Linked DNA regions of Sus scrofa. The protein of the gene in region 2 purifies or fractionates together with the protein of the main gene of each other region. This does not show direct contact. Links are inferred from orthologs where the notes say so. Each region holds a gene or a part of one and is shown on either strand. Other genes may lie near its edges. The genes, in order: SMARCA4, TOP2A and SRPK1.

Region 1 (3,651 bases), on a different chromosome or scaffold from region 2:
GGACCCCTGCCAGGGCAGGGACTTCGCCATTCTTACTACCAAGGCCCCAGACACACAGCAGTGTCTGTCACCATCTCCCTGATTAGAGAGCCCTCGAGGGCTCATGGTCAGACAGCAAGGGTGGGCGGGAGGTCGGCCTCACACCTTCGGTGGCTCTTCCATCAGAAGGGGCTGCCACCTCCAATTTCCAGAGAGCACAGAGCATCCAGCAAACCTGTGGTCACTGACGGCTGGAGTGGCCCGGCAAAGGTCTGGTGACAGGTCCTTCGGACTCCCAAACCCAAGCCCTCTCTTCCTCTGTCCCACTTCTAACTCTGAGCAGCAAAATACCCCAGCGAAATCCTGGGCAGTCAATCCCCATGCTTGTGAGAGAGAGACACACACACAAAGGAACCCGGGTCACAAAGGCCAATTGTACCATGAGCCTCCGCATTCTCTCCTTCTCGATTCTTTCGTTTTCCTTCTTCTGTTCCCGCTCTGTGTTGGCGTGGTAAGTGGCCACCGCCTTTGTGAGTTTCTGGATTTTGCCTGTGACTGATCTGTGATATTCTTTGAAATCCTTGGCATGCTGAAGAATGCTGTTGAGGTATTCCTGTAGGAAGCACACAATAGAGCAGACTGACTACAGGACAGGAGTCGCTGCATCGAACATCAAAGGTAGCTTGGTGAAAACCCAGAGGGCACAATCTAAACAACACATCGACCCTATGCCCATGAAGTCCAGCATTCTCTGCGTCGGGATAAAACTCCATGCCGGCCTGTGGCGTGAAGGGCCTTCCCTCGTGCACAGTAGATGGGGTAGTCCACAGGGCTTCCACTGGGCTGGGACCACCTGGCACTGTCTGCCAAGTGCTTCCAAACACAACTGCCTGCCAGCCAAATCACTCCACTGCTAGGGATTTATTTCAAGGAAAAGAGCAGAGACTGGCCCCCAAATTCAAGTATAAGAAAGTCTATCCCAATGTTATTTTTAATATTGAAAAGCTGAAAATATACTGCATGTCCCCCAGTAGGAAATGGTTTCATAAATTACTGGATGCTGGACATACTGAGAAGGACTACAATGTAGACACTAAAATCATGCTTCAACAATACTCTAAACAGGTCAACATGTGTATGTTGTTTTAAAAAGTGGCTGCTTAACTTGTGATTACTATATGTAAGAAAAAAGAAGATTGGAATGATATATACCAAAATGTTAACAGAGGCTAACACTGAGCACTGACTTTTTTGTTATCATAAACCGTATCAGTAATAGATACTGATAGGAGAAAACTTCATAAAACATATATCAACAAAATCAACCCAAATCCTATTTGAGGAGAGATTCTGGTTTCCTTTACTGATGTTGTAACAACCTCTGCCAGATCACTCCCTCTGCTTAGGACCCTCCAGGGCTCTCATCTCATTCAGAGTGAAAGCCCAAGTCATCCCCTCGCCCCATGGAAGCCTTGCATGCTCTGCCCATCACCTCCCCCTTCTCCCCACCTCCTGCTCGCCTCCTTGCTCACTCCACTGACTACACTGGATCCTTGCTTTTCACAGAGCAGTGGGACACAACCAGCCCCAGGGCCTTTGCACCTTCCCCTCTATCTGGAAACACACACATCTGGTGGCTCCCTCCCTTGGGCCTCAGAGCTCACCTGCTCAGGGAGGACCTCCCAGACGGACCATCCTCCATCACGCTCTAGCCTCACTTCATGCTTCCTTACACCCTATTAACTTCCAACATGTTATACACGCATCTGATTCTACTATTTGGCTTTGTCCCCTGATGTATTTTTAATGCTCAGAATACTGACATAACAAACGGAAAAGAGACACAGACAGTGTGTTGACAGATAAACCAAGGCTCAGCAGCTTACAAGCTGACACCCTGGACATGTGGGCAGGCTAACGCGCAGCTGCAGGGACCTACCTGGTGCTTCTGCCGGCGCTTTCGCTCCTGCTCAATCTTTTGCTGCTTCTCCAGCTTCTCGGTGATGCGGGCCTCGCGCAGGGACTGCCGCTTGCTACGCTTGTAGGCCTTGGCATTGAGGGCCGTCTCGAGGGCTGTGTCCCTCCGCATGCACACTACCACCTCCTGCCGCAGCTTCAGGAAGGAAGAGGAGAAACTGGTAACGGGTACAACTCCGCGACATCTGAATGACATGCACAATTCCACATGGCAAGCTGGGCAGAAGGCTCCCGCTCCCAGAAGGACCCATGAGCACAAATGTGTGCACGGGGAGGACACATGGTGAGGCCCTCGGGTTGGGAGATGGCTGCTTCTGGACACCCGGCAGAGAACACTCTCACACCTCAGGTCTCCAGTTCTACCCTCCCTCAACCACAATCAAACAAAATTTCTTATTGGTTGTTCAAAAGGAAAGGACCCTCAGCAATAGACCCATCTAAGTTCCCTGCTTCAAGCTGGTCACTGCCGCCTTAAGGAAGACCCACGTCTATTCAGCCTGTGCCTTCACTGAGCAGTTCCTCCACTGGGCAGGATGTGCAGAGGAAGGGGGGGGACAGTGACCTAATGAATGTGGGTGAGCACTGAGGCTTTTAATGGTCAGGGTGCATTTAAAGACCTGAAGCAGTAACATTGACAGAAAGGGCTCTTTTCCTAAAGCATCAGCTGCGCCTGCGCCCACCTGCCTCTGGAAGTTCAGGAGCCTGAGGGCCTTGAGCTCAATGGTCGCTTTGGTTCGCAAATCCCCGGCCAGGGACCCGGGAAGGTTTTCAAGTTCCTGAATTCGGTGTGCGATGCGAGCCTGCAGCCTAGAGTGCAAAGATAGAAAGAAGAGCAGGTGATGGGAGGTCTCACTTGTTTATAAGGAACACACCTCTTCCTTTTCTTTAAAGCCAGAACCTCAGAAGAATCCAACCCTTGAAGGAGGCTGCTACTGGTCACAAGACAGGACATGGCTAAGAAAAGGAGGCCACACAACACAGACTACACACAGGACAGCAGCTGCAGAGGTCTCGGGAGCCACGGCAAACAGGAAACCTGACAGGGCGCAGCAGGCTTCTGCCATTTCAGCAGTGGGAGCCAGGCTCTGGAATCAGGCAGCCAGTGTCTCCATCCCAGCCCTGGGAATCTACTTAGCCCCTGAGCCTCAGTGTCCTTAGGTGTGAAGTGGGGAGACCCTTCATAGCACCCTCCAGGGTTGCTAACTGTAAAAAGAGACTTCAAAAAACCTGTATGGGAAACAGTACACAGGTAAGGATGAGAGCAGGGAGGAGGCATAGACCAGACAGCAAGGTGAAAGGCGCTGGGGGTAAGGAAGCTGAAAGGGTTCACCAAGCGGACATCAGGGATGAGGAAGGGCAAGCAAGGGTCAAGGGGCCACGGGGGCCACGGTCCACTCAGCTACAGGATGGTAGGTGCATGGGAACAGAGACAGGAGGGGAAAGTGGGTGGGTGTACCACCATCTGGACAGGCCATCTTTAAGCCGTCCAGATGGGGAGGTGCCTGGGTATAGGGGCTGGAGCTCCAGGGCACAGCACAGCTGGAGATGCACTCTGGAGACGGTCATTTGGCAAAGCTTTCCTGGTGCATCTGGGGAGTTTATGGTGCACAAGGCACAGCCCCCTCCTCTGATGGAGCCAATATTTATTTACCAAGGGAGGCTAGCCCTGAACAAGTCATAATGGAGAAACAGGCA
Region 2 (3,651 bases):
AAAAGAGTAGCATATTAAACTTTAATAAATTCATTTAAAAAAATTAATATCCGGGAGTTCCTGTCATGGCGCAGTGGTTAACGAATCCAACTAGGAACCATGAGGTTGCGGGTTTGGTCCCTGTGCTTGCTCAGTGGGTTAACGATCCGGCGTTGCCGTGAGCTGTGGTGTAGGTTGCAGACGCGGCTCGGATCCCGCGTTGCTGTGGCTCTGGCGTAGGCCAGCAGCTACAGCTCCGACTCGACCCCTAGCCTGGGAACCTCCATATGCCGTGGGAGCGGCCCAAGAAATAGCAAAAAAAAGACCAAAAAAAGACAAAAAAAAATTAATATCCGAGCATCTGCAACAAAGACATATTTTCTGATTAACTGAATTTAAAAATTTTTGGTCAACTAAATGTCATAATACTTCAAAATTGGAAATGGCAATTCACTGAAAATTGGAAGCATACCCACCTGAGCATTGTGAAGATGTATCGAGGACTAGCAGAATCCTTGCCACCATGCAACCTGGTACCAAACTGACCAATGGGCTGTAAGAGGTTCAGATTATTGCTACCCACAAAATTCTGAGCCAAATTGATAATGGTCATCATAAGTGACATCTGGGGGGGAAAAAAGATTCATTAATCTTATCTGTAGGCTTTTAATAATAACTGTCTGATTATGACTATGCCTCACTATACTCCTGTAAGATTTTATGAAATGTAGATCTTTATTGGCTTTTTACATATGAAAACATAACAGAAGTAGTATCTAAACCCAAGACTTCTGTCTCCAAGCTCTGGGCTCTTGCCTTACATGGTTTTTATCATCTGACTCAACCTTAAAGGCATAGCTCTTCTCTTCACCCTCAGCAGAATGAAATATTTCCTTCTTTGTGTTAAAACATTTTGCTCATTTCTATTCTAGCATGTATCACTCTATTCTACCATTTTGTATGTGTGAGAGAGAGAGAGAGAGAAAGAGATAGTCATATGGTTAAACTGTGATTTTAACTCCTTAAAGGTAGCAAACATATGATTTATCTTTGTACACTTGGTAGATGGTAAGCATTCAACAAATGTTTACTGTGTGAACATTTACTGAGTAGCCCATGTATATATTTTTAATTTTTTTCTTTTTTAGCTACCCCACGGCATATAGAGTTCCTGGGCCAGGGATCAGATTCAAGCCACACTTGCAACCTAAGTCGCAGCTGTGGCAATGCTGGATTCCTTAACCCACTGTGCTAGGCTGGGGACCGAACCTGTGTCCCAAGACACCACCAATACCATTGTGCCATAGCAGGAACTCCTAGCTGCTATATTTTGATTGAAAGCAACAAGCAAGGCAATCATTACCTTTAAAGTTCTAGAAACTTACAGGCAACCTAATTCTTTAAAATTGTTTTACATCAATGCAAAAAAAGCAACTTCAATCACAAAATTAAAAAATGAATATGTAGGAGTTCCCATTGTGGTTCAGTGGTAACAAACACCACTAGTATCCGTGAGAATGTGGGTTTGATCTTTGGCTTTGCCCAGTGGGTTAAGTCTCCGGCGCTACTGTGAGCTGTGGTGCAGGCCGGCAGCTGCAGCTCTGAGTCGACCCCTAACCCACAGACTTCCGTGTGCCACAGGCACGGCCCTGGAAAAGCAAGTAAACAAACAAACAAAAACAAAACCAATATGTATGTTTGTACAAAATCAATTCAGACATATATGAAAAACTGGAAAGTTGCCCTTTCCAATTCCTAGGGATAACCAAAGTTAACAATTTGGAGCACATCCTTCAAGTATTATTCTGCCTCCTTTATTCCCTCACCTGACAATAGAACGTGGACATTCTTCAGTGTTAGCACACATAGATTTACTTAAGTAAATCTGATCCCATGTATAGATGTGTCACAATTTATAGTAATGTTCCAATTGATGGACATTTTTCATGTCTAAATTGTGGCATAACAAAGTTACAGCAAACATTATTAAACACTTTTGAATATAGATCCTTGCATGTCTTTTGATTATAGTATCCTTATATTATTTTTATAAATAGATTTGTAAGGTCAAAAAATAAGCACATTTTACAGTTTGATAGTTTTCACCAAATTGCTCTCCACTATGGATATACCAGCTTATATTTTCACCAACTGTTTGGAGACTGACTTTGCAGGTATTTCTGCTATAATGCTTTCTGGAAACATTATGGATTATGTATTTACCTCACCATGATGATAAGAGGACATCTCAGCTACTGACCCAGCTAACTGGGCCACCTTCACTTCTCGCTTGTCATTTCGTTTGAAACATGTAAACAAAACTTTTCTCTGTCCCGGTTTCAAACCTTCAAAACGAAAGAAGTGTAAATATTAATATCCTCAATTTAACCATTTCTGGGCATTGATTTCCATGTTATAATAAAAATAGACCAATAAATTGAAACTCACCATCCACCATGGATGGGATAGATCTCTCATTATCAGAATTTGAGAACAGGATAAGTTCCTTGTTTATGAAGTCATTGTATGTCAGATATGTGGTAGTTTGCCCATACAAGTAATCCTGAGAAACCAAAGAGTGTTACATGATCTAGTTAAAAATAAAAAATATCACTGGTCATAACAACGATTAAGACAAAAATAAAACAAAGGCATTCCTTAGCACTGTTATTTCCATGAAAAAAAAATTTTCTTTTTTTGGTCTTTTTGTCTTTTTAGGGCTGCAGCCGCAGCATATGGAGGTTCCCAGGCTAGGGGTTGAATCAGAGCTGCTGGCCTACACCACAGCCGCAGCAATGCCAGATCCGAGCCACATCTGTGACTCACACCACAGCCCATGGCAACACTGGATCCTTAACCCACTGAGCAAGGCCAGGGATCGAACTTGCATCCTCATGGATGCTAGTTAGATTCATTTCCACTGAGCCACAATGGGAACTCTCTCCATGATAATTCTTAAATCCCTCAAAAATAAAGATTTATGAAAAGTATTTTATATGTTTTAAAGACAAAGCGAATTTAACTGCTGCACAATTAGAAAAAAAATGCATTAACTTTCTAGTTTCTTTCAGGTTTAACACATTTATGCAGGTGTCTAAATAAGGATATACAGTTATCTATTATTAACATTTCTAGTGAAATAACTATTAATTTTAATTTGCTCTGTCAATTCTAAAAGGTCAATAAATAGTACATTTCGTGGGCTATATTAAAAAATTTTTTTGTACCTCAGGAAGGCCAAGTAACTTTCGTTGCCGTCTATCTTCCATGAAATGCGTTAACCATTCCTTTCGATCATCTATCTGTTTTTTGCTAAAGGCCTGCAAATTAGAAGATGAAAAAGATGTCACTGGTAGACAGGTTCCAAGTTATTTCTTCTATAAGAAATTAACTAATAAACAACAAAATCTCAGTTTTCTAAAATATATGCCTCCTTTCTCTGGAATATGATTACTGAAAACATTCTACTCTCTCTCTCTATATATATATATTTTTTTTTGGCTTTTCTGTCTTTTTAGGGCTGCACTCGCAGCATATGAAGGTTCCTAGGCTAGGGGTCTAATCGGAGCTACAGCTGCTAGCCTACGCCACAGCCATAGCAATGCCAGATCCAAGCCGCATCTGCAGCCTACACCACAGCTCACAGCAACGCCAGATCCTTAACCCACTGAG
Region 3 (3,651 bases), on a different chromosome or scaffold from region 2:
TGTAGGCTGCAGACGCGGCTCGGATCCCGAGTTGCTGTGGCTCTGGCGTAGGCCGGTGGCTACAGCTCCGATTCAACCAATAGCCTGGGAACCTCCAAATGCCGCGGGAACGGCCCAAGAAATAGCAACAACAACAACAACAAAAGACAAAAAGAAAAAAAAAAAAAAAAAAAAAAAAAGAAATAATTCCTTTTGTAGGATGCAAGTCAACTAAAGCAACTAACCACATTGTTTATTCAGCCTTCATTTTTTTCACAGAAAAACTTTCTCAGGGAAGGAAGCAGTTCACTGATTTACTTTTGGGCCTGAGCTCCTTATTTTGTCACAGACTAGCACTCTGAAAAGTACTTCCCAGGACCTCTCCTGGTTCAACAGCCTCACTTAATAAATGAAAAATCCAAGGCTCAGAAGAAATGAGTAATGATGAGGACATACTGGGAGAGTGATGGTCCTAAAACTCATGTTTTCTAACTTTGAGTTTAAGCTCCTTTCGCTACACTGACATTTCCTAATTTATAACAAAATCGAAAATAAGTTTTTGATACATTTTACCAAAGTCTCCAGATACTAAAGAGAATACAGTGCTTATTTTTATCTTACATATTTTTACTACATTTTAAAACAAATACTGTCTTCTTTTAAGGATATTGGAGCTTTACAGTAAATACCAGCCATGCAAGAGTATACACTTGGTGTGTCTCAACTGAAAAGACAATGCTTTTTTAATAAAACTTTGCAGCTCATAATCAAATACTTACGGATTTTAGCAACCGGATTTCATCGAGTGCTGTTTCAGTATAATGTTCAGCACTTTTAACGACTTTCATTGCCACAAATTTCTTCCCCCTAAGAAACAAACACAGGCAATTAAGACTAAATGTCCTACCCCTACTTAGGAAGCTAAGATTTAACTGTAACTGGGAAATGGTGACAAAACTACAAATGTTGATTTCATTTTGTCCTGTGCTCAGATACAAACTTCTACTTCAATGGGGCTGTCTATATCTGTTAGCGGCACTAACTGGCCAAATTTAACTTACAAAAAGAAAAAAAATCTGTTCTAGGATAATGTCAGACACCAAACATTTTCTCTAAGTTAAAATCTACCCCTCCGAATGTCTCTGTGAATCAAAGTAAAACCATGAAATAGAGATAAAAGGGAAAACTCCATCAAACTAAAAGTATCCAGGGTAAAGGGAAAAGGTTATGATGGAACACTTAATGTAAGAAAAAAGAATGCATACATGTATATGTAACTGGGTCACCATGCTGTACAGTAGAAAAAAATATATATATATAAATGATTAAAAAAGAGAACAAACAAAACAAAAAAAGAAAAGGTTAAATGCTATTAACACTTTCCTCTAAGAAGCCAGAATACATGGGTGAAAAACTGTTTATAACCTAAGTGCACAGACAGCAATTGCTGTCTCATCAAAGATACTTTTAGGTAAACACCCAATGTTAACTGCCTGCGGTTTTTACATAGAGAGGTTTTAGATTGTATGGCTGAGCAAATCTGTCAGCAAAAGAAACCACACACACAAAAATAATTTCACATAGGTGAAACTAAAGGACACAATAAAAAAATTTTACTCTACTCCTTCCTGTGAGAAAAACTGAAAGGTTACATCCCATACTTCGAATTTGGGAGCTTCAAGCACCTTACTGATACTAATTTAATCAATCTTGTTTCTCTAAGGTGCTTCAGAGTGAAGTCATTTGGCCAAGAACATAAAGATTATCAACAGTTAAGATTCTGATTAAGAAATTAGTCTAGAGTTAGCCTGAAGGTGGAAAACCAGGCAAAACATTTAAAAACGACCTAATTCACTTGCAGGACCATTAAAACTTACTGAATATCCCATGATAACCATACTGTTGAAAAGTGTCCCCAGCCCAATTTTCGGATCACATGATATCTCCCATTGAATAGATCTCCGATTTTCACAAGATGGTAGCCTCCTGGAAGAACAACAGGAAGAAAACAGTCACTTTACGTAAGAAAGGATATCTTACAACCCATTTTTCAACATCAATACACCTTTTATCAAATACATTTTTTTGGGGGGGCCACACCTGGGCATATGGAAGTTTCTAGGCTAGGGGCTGAATAGGAGCTGCAGCTAAGGCCTACGAAATTGTGCCTATGCCACAGCCATAGCCACACCAGATCCTTAACCCACTGATAGAGGGCAAGGATGGAACCTGCATCCTCACTGACACTATGTCAGATTCTGAGCCACAATAGGAACTCCCAAATTGGTTTCTTCTAATACAGTCAATTCAACAAAGGACAATTTTAAGTCAGCCACACACTAGTGTTGAGCTCATGCTACAAAAAAGTATCTTAGAGAATAAGAGTAATGATTAATAAGAGTGAGCAAGTGATGCTTTAGTTACCTAAAAAAATAAAGTCAGCCCCAAACAAGAGTAAGGTTATGTATCACACCATTCTTGCCCCTCAATAATTCAACAGATTTATCTAAACTATAAAATCCATTTACGGTTGTAGTCTCAGAATTAAAAAAAAAATTTTTTGGCTGCAGCATGCTGCAACTTGATGTGGGATCTCAGTTCCCAGACCAGGGATTGAACCCAGGCCACAGAGGTGAAAACAGAGCCCTAACCACAAGACCACCAGGGAACTCCCTCGGGATATATTTTAGGAGAGAAATTAATGAGTTCTATTTACTTAACTTAAAATAAAAAAAGGAACTGCTTTTCTAAAACACATAATACAACAGAAAAAAACCAGGAAGGCCTAAAGAGGCTGCCAACAGTGGCAGGAATCAAGGGATTTTAACATCTCTGCTGCTAAGAACAACCAGGTTCTCCTCGATGGTAATATACACTCTGTTTTAAGAGCTACCCAAGAATACTGGAAAGTTTCATAAGGAAACATATCAGGTAATCTTCTAAAACAGTTTAAGTATCTGTTAATTCCAGTTAACATATGTTAGCAATCAACACTTTAAGAAAAAAATAATGAAAAAGCAAGTGTTTTCCAAGTCTGTATATCCAATCTTATCGCTGGTTACTTCTGGATGACAGCACTACAGATAGCCTTTATTTTCTTTTTGTTGAATACATTTTTGAAATTTCTAAGGTAAATATGCACTACCATATTTAAGGAGAAAAGGAATAGAAACAGATTTAATATAAAACAAAGTTTTAATTACTAAAAGGGAATACTAATTCCTGTACTTAGAGAAAAGCATTAAAACTGTTTATGCTGGGAATTCCTGCTGTGGCACAGTGGAAACGAATCCAACTAGGAACCATGAGGTTGCAGGTTCCATCCCTGGCCTCGCTCAGTGGGTTAAGGATCCAGTGTTGCCATAAGCTGTGGTGTAGGTTGCAGACAAGGTCCAGATCCTGTGTTGCTGTGGCTGTTGTGCAGGCCAGCAGCTGTACCTCTGATTTGACACCTAGCCTAGGAACCTCCATACGCTATGGGTGCAGCCCTAAAAATGCAAAAACAATAACAGAAAAACAAAAAAAACCCCAATCAACCAAACAAAAAAAAAAAAACCCCCCTGTTTATGCCTGAGTTCCTGTTGTGGCTCAGGGGGTTAAGAACCCAACACAGTGTCCATGAGGATGTGGGTTTGATGCTTGGCCTTACCCAGTGGGTTATGGATCTGGTGT

What was found.
Region 1: the proteins of TOP2A (region 2) and SMARCA4 purify together in Homo sapiens (affinity purification with western blotting; 3 studies listed by BioGRID and IntAct, with this or other methods). This does not show direct contact. The link is inferred for Sus scrofa from reciprocal best matches to the Homo sapiens genes TOP2A and SMARCA4.
Region 3: the proteins of TOP2A (region 2) and SRPK1 fractionate together in Homo sapiens (co-fractionation; 3 studies listed by BioGRID and IntAct, with this or other methods). This does not show direct contact. The link is inferred for Sus scrofa from reciprocal best matches to the Homo sapiens genes TOP2A and SRPK1.

The regions. Positions count from the first base shown.
Region 1 is NC_010444.4:69,737,705-69,741,355, reverse strand, and holds part of SMARCA4 (transcription activator BRG1), read right to left. Parts: intron 2,764-3,651; coding exon 2,637-2,763; intron 2,093-2,636; coding exon 1,919-2,092; intron 593-1,918; coding exon 419-592; intron 1-418. UniProt on the Homo sapiens protein: ATPase involved in transcriptional activation and repression of select genes by chromatin remodeling (alteration of DNA-nucleosome topology).
Region 2 is NC_010454.4:22,011,232-22,014,882, reverse strand, and holds part of TOP2A (DNA topoisomerase 2-alpha), read right to left. Parts: intron 3,300-3,651; coding exon 3,207-3,299; intron 2,543-3,206; coding exon 2,428-2,542; intron 2,325-2,427; coding exon 2,203-2,324; intron 605-2,202; coding exon 456-604; intron 1-455. UniProt on the Homo sapiens protein: Key decatenating enzyme that alters DNA topology by binding to two double-stranded DNA molecules, generating a double-stranded break in one of the strands, passing the intact strand through the broken strand, and religating the broken strand.
Region 3 is NC_010449.5:31,677,218-31,680,868, forward strand, and holds part of SRPK1 (SRSF protein kinase 1), read right to left. Parts: intron 1,966-3,651; coding exon 1,857-1,965; intron 847-1,856; coding exon 759-846; intron 1-758. UniProt on the Homo sapiens protein: Serine/arginine-rich protein-specific kinase which specifically phosphorylates its substrates at serine residues located in regions rich in arginine/serine dipeptides, known as RS domains and is involved in the phosphorylation of SR splicing factors and the regulation of splicing.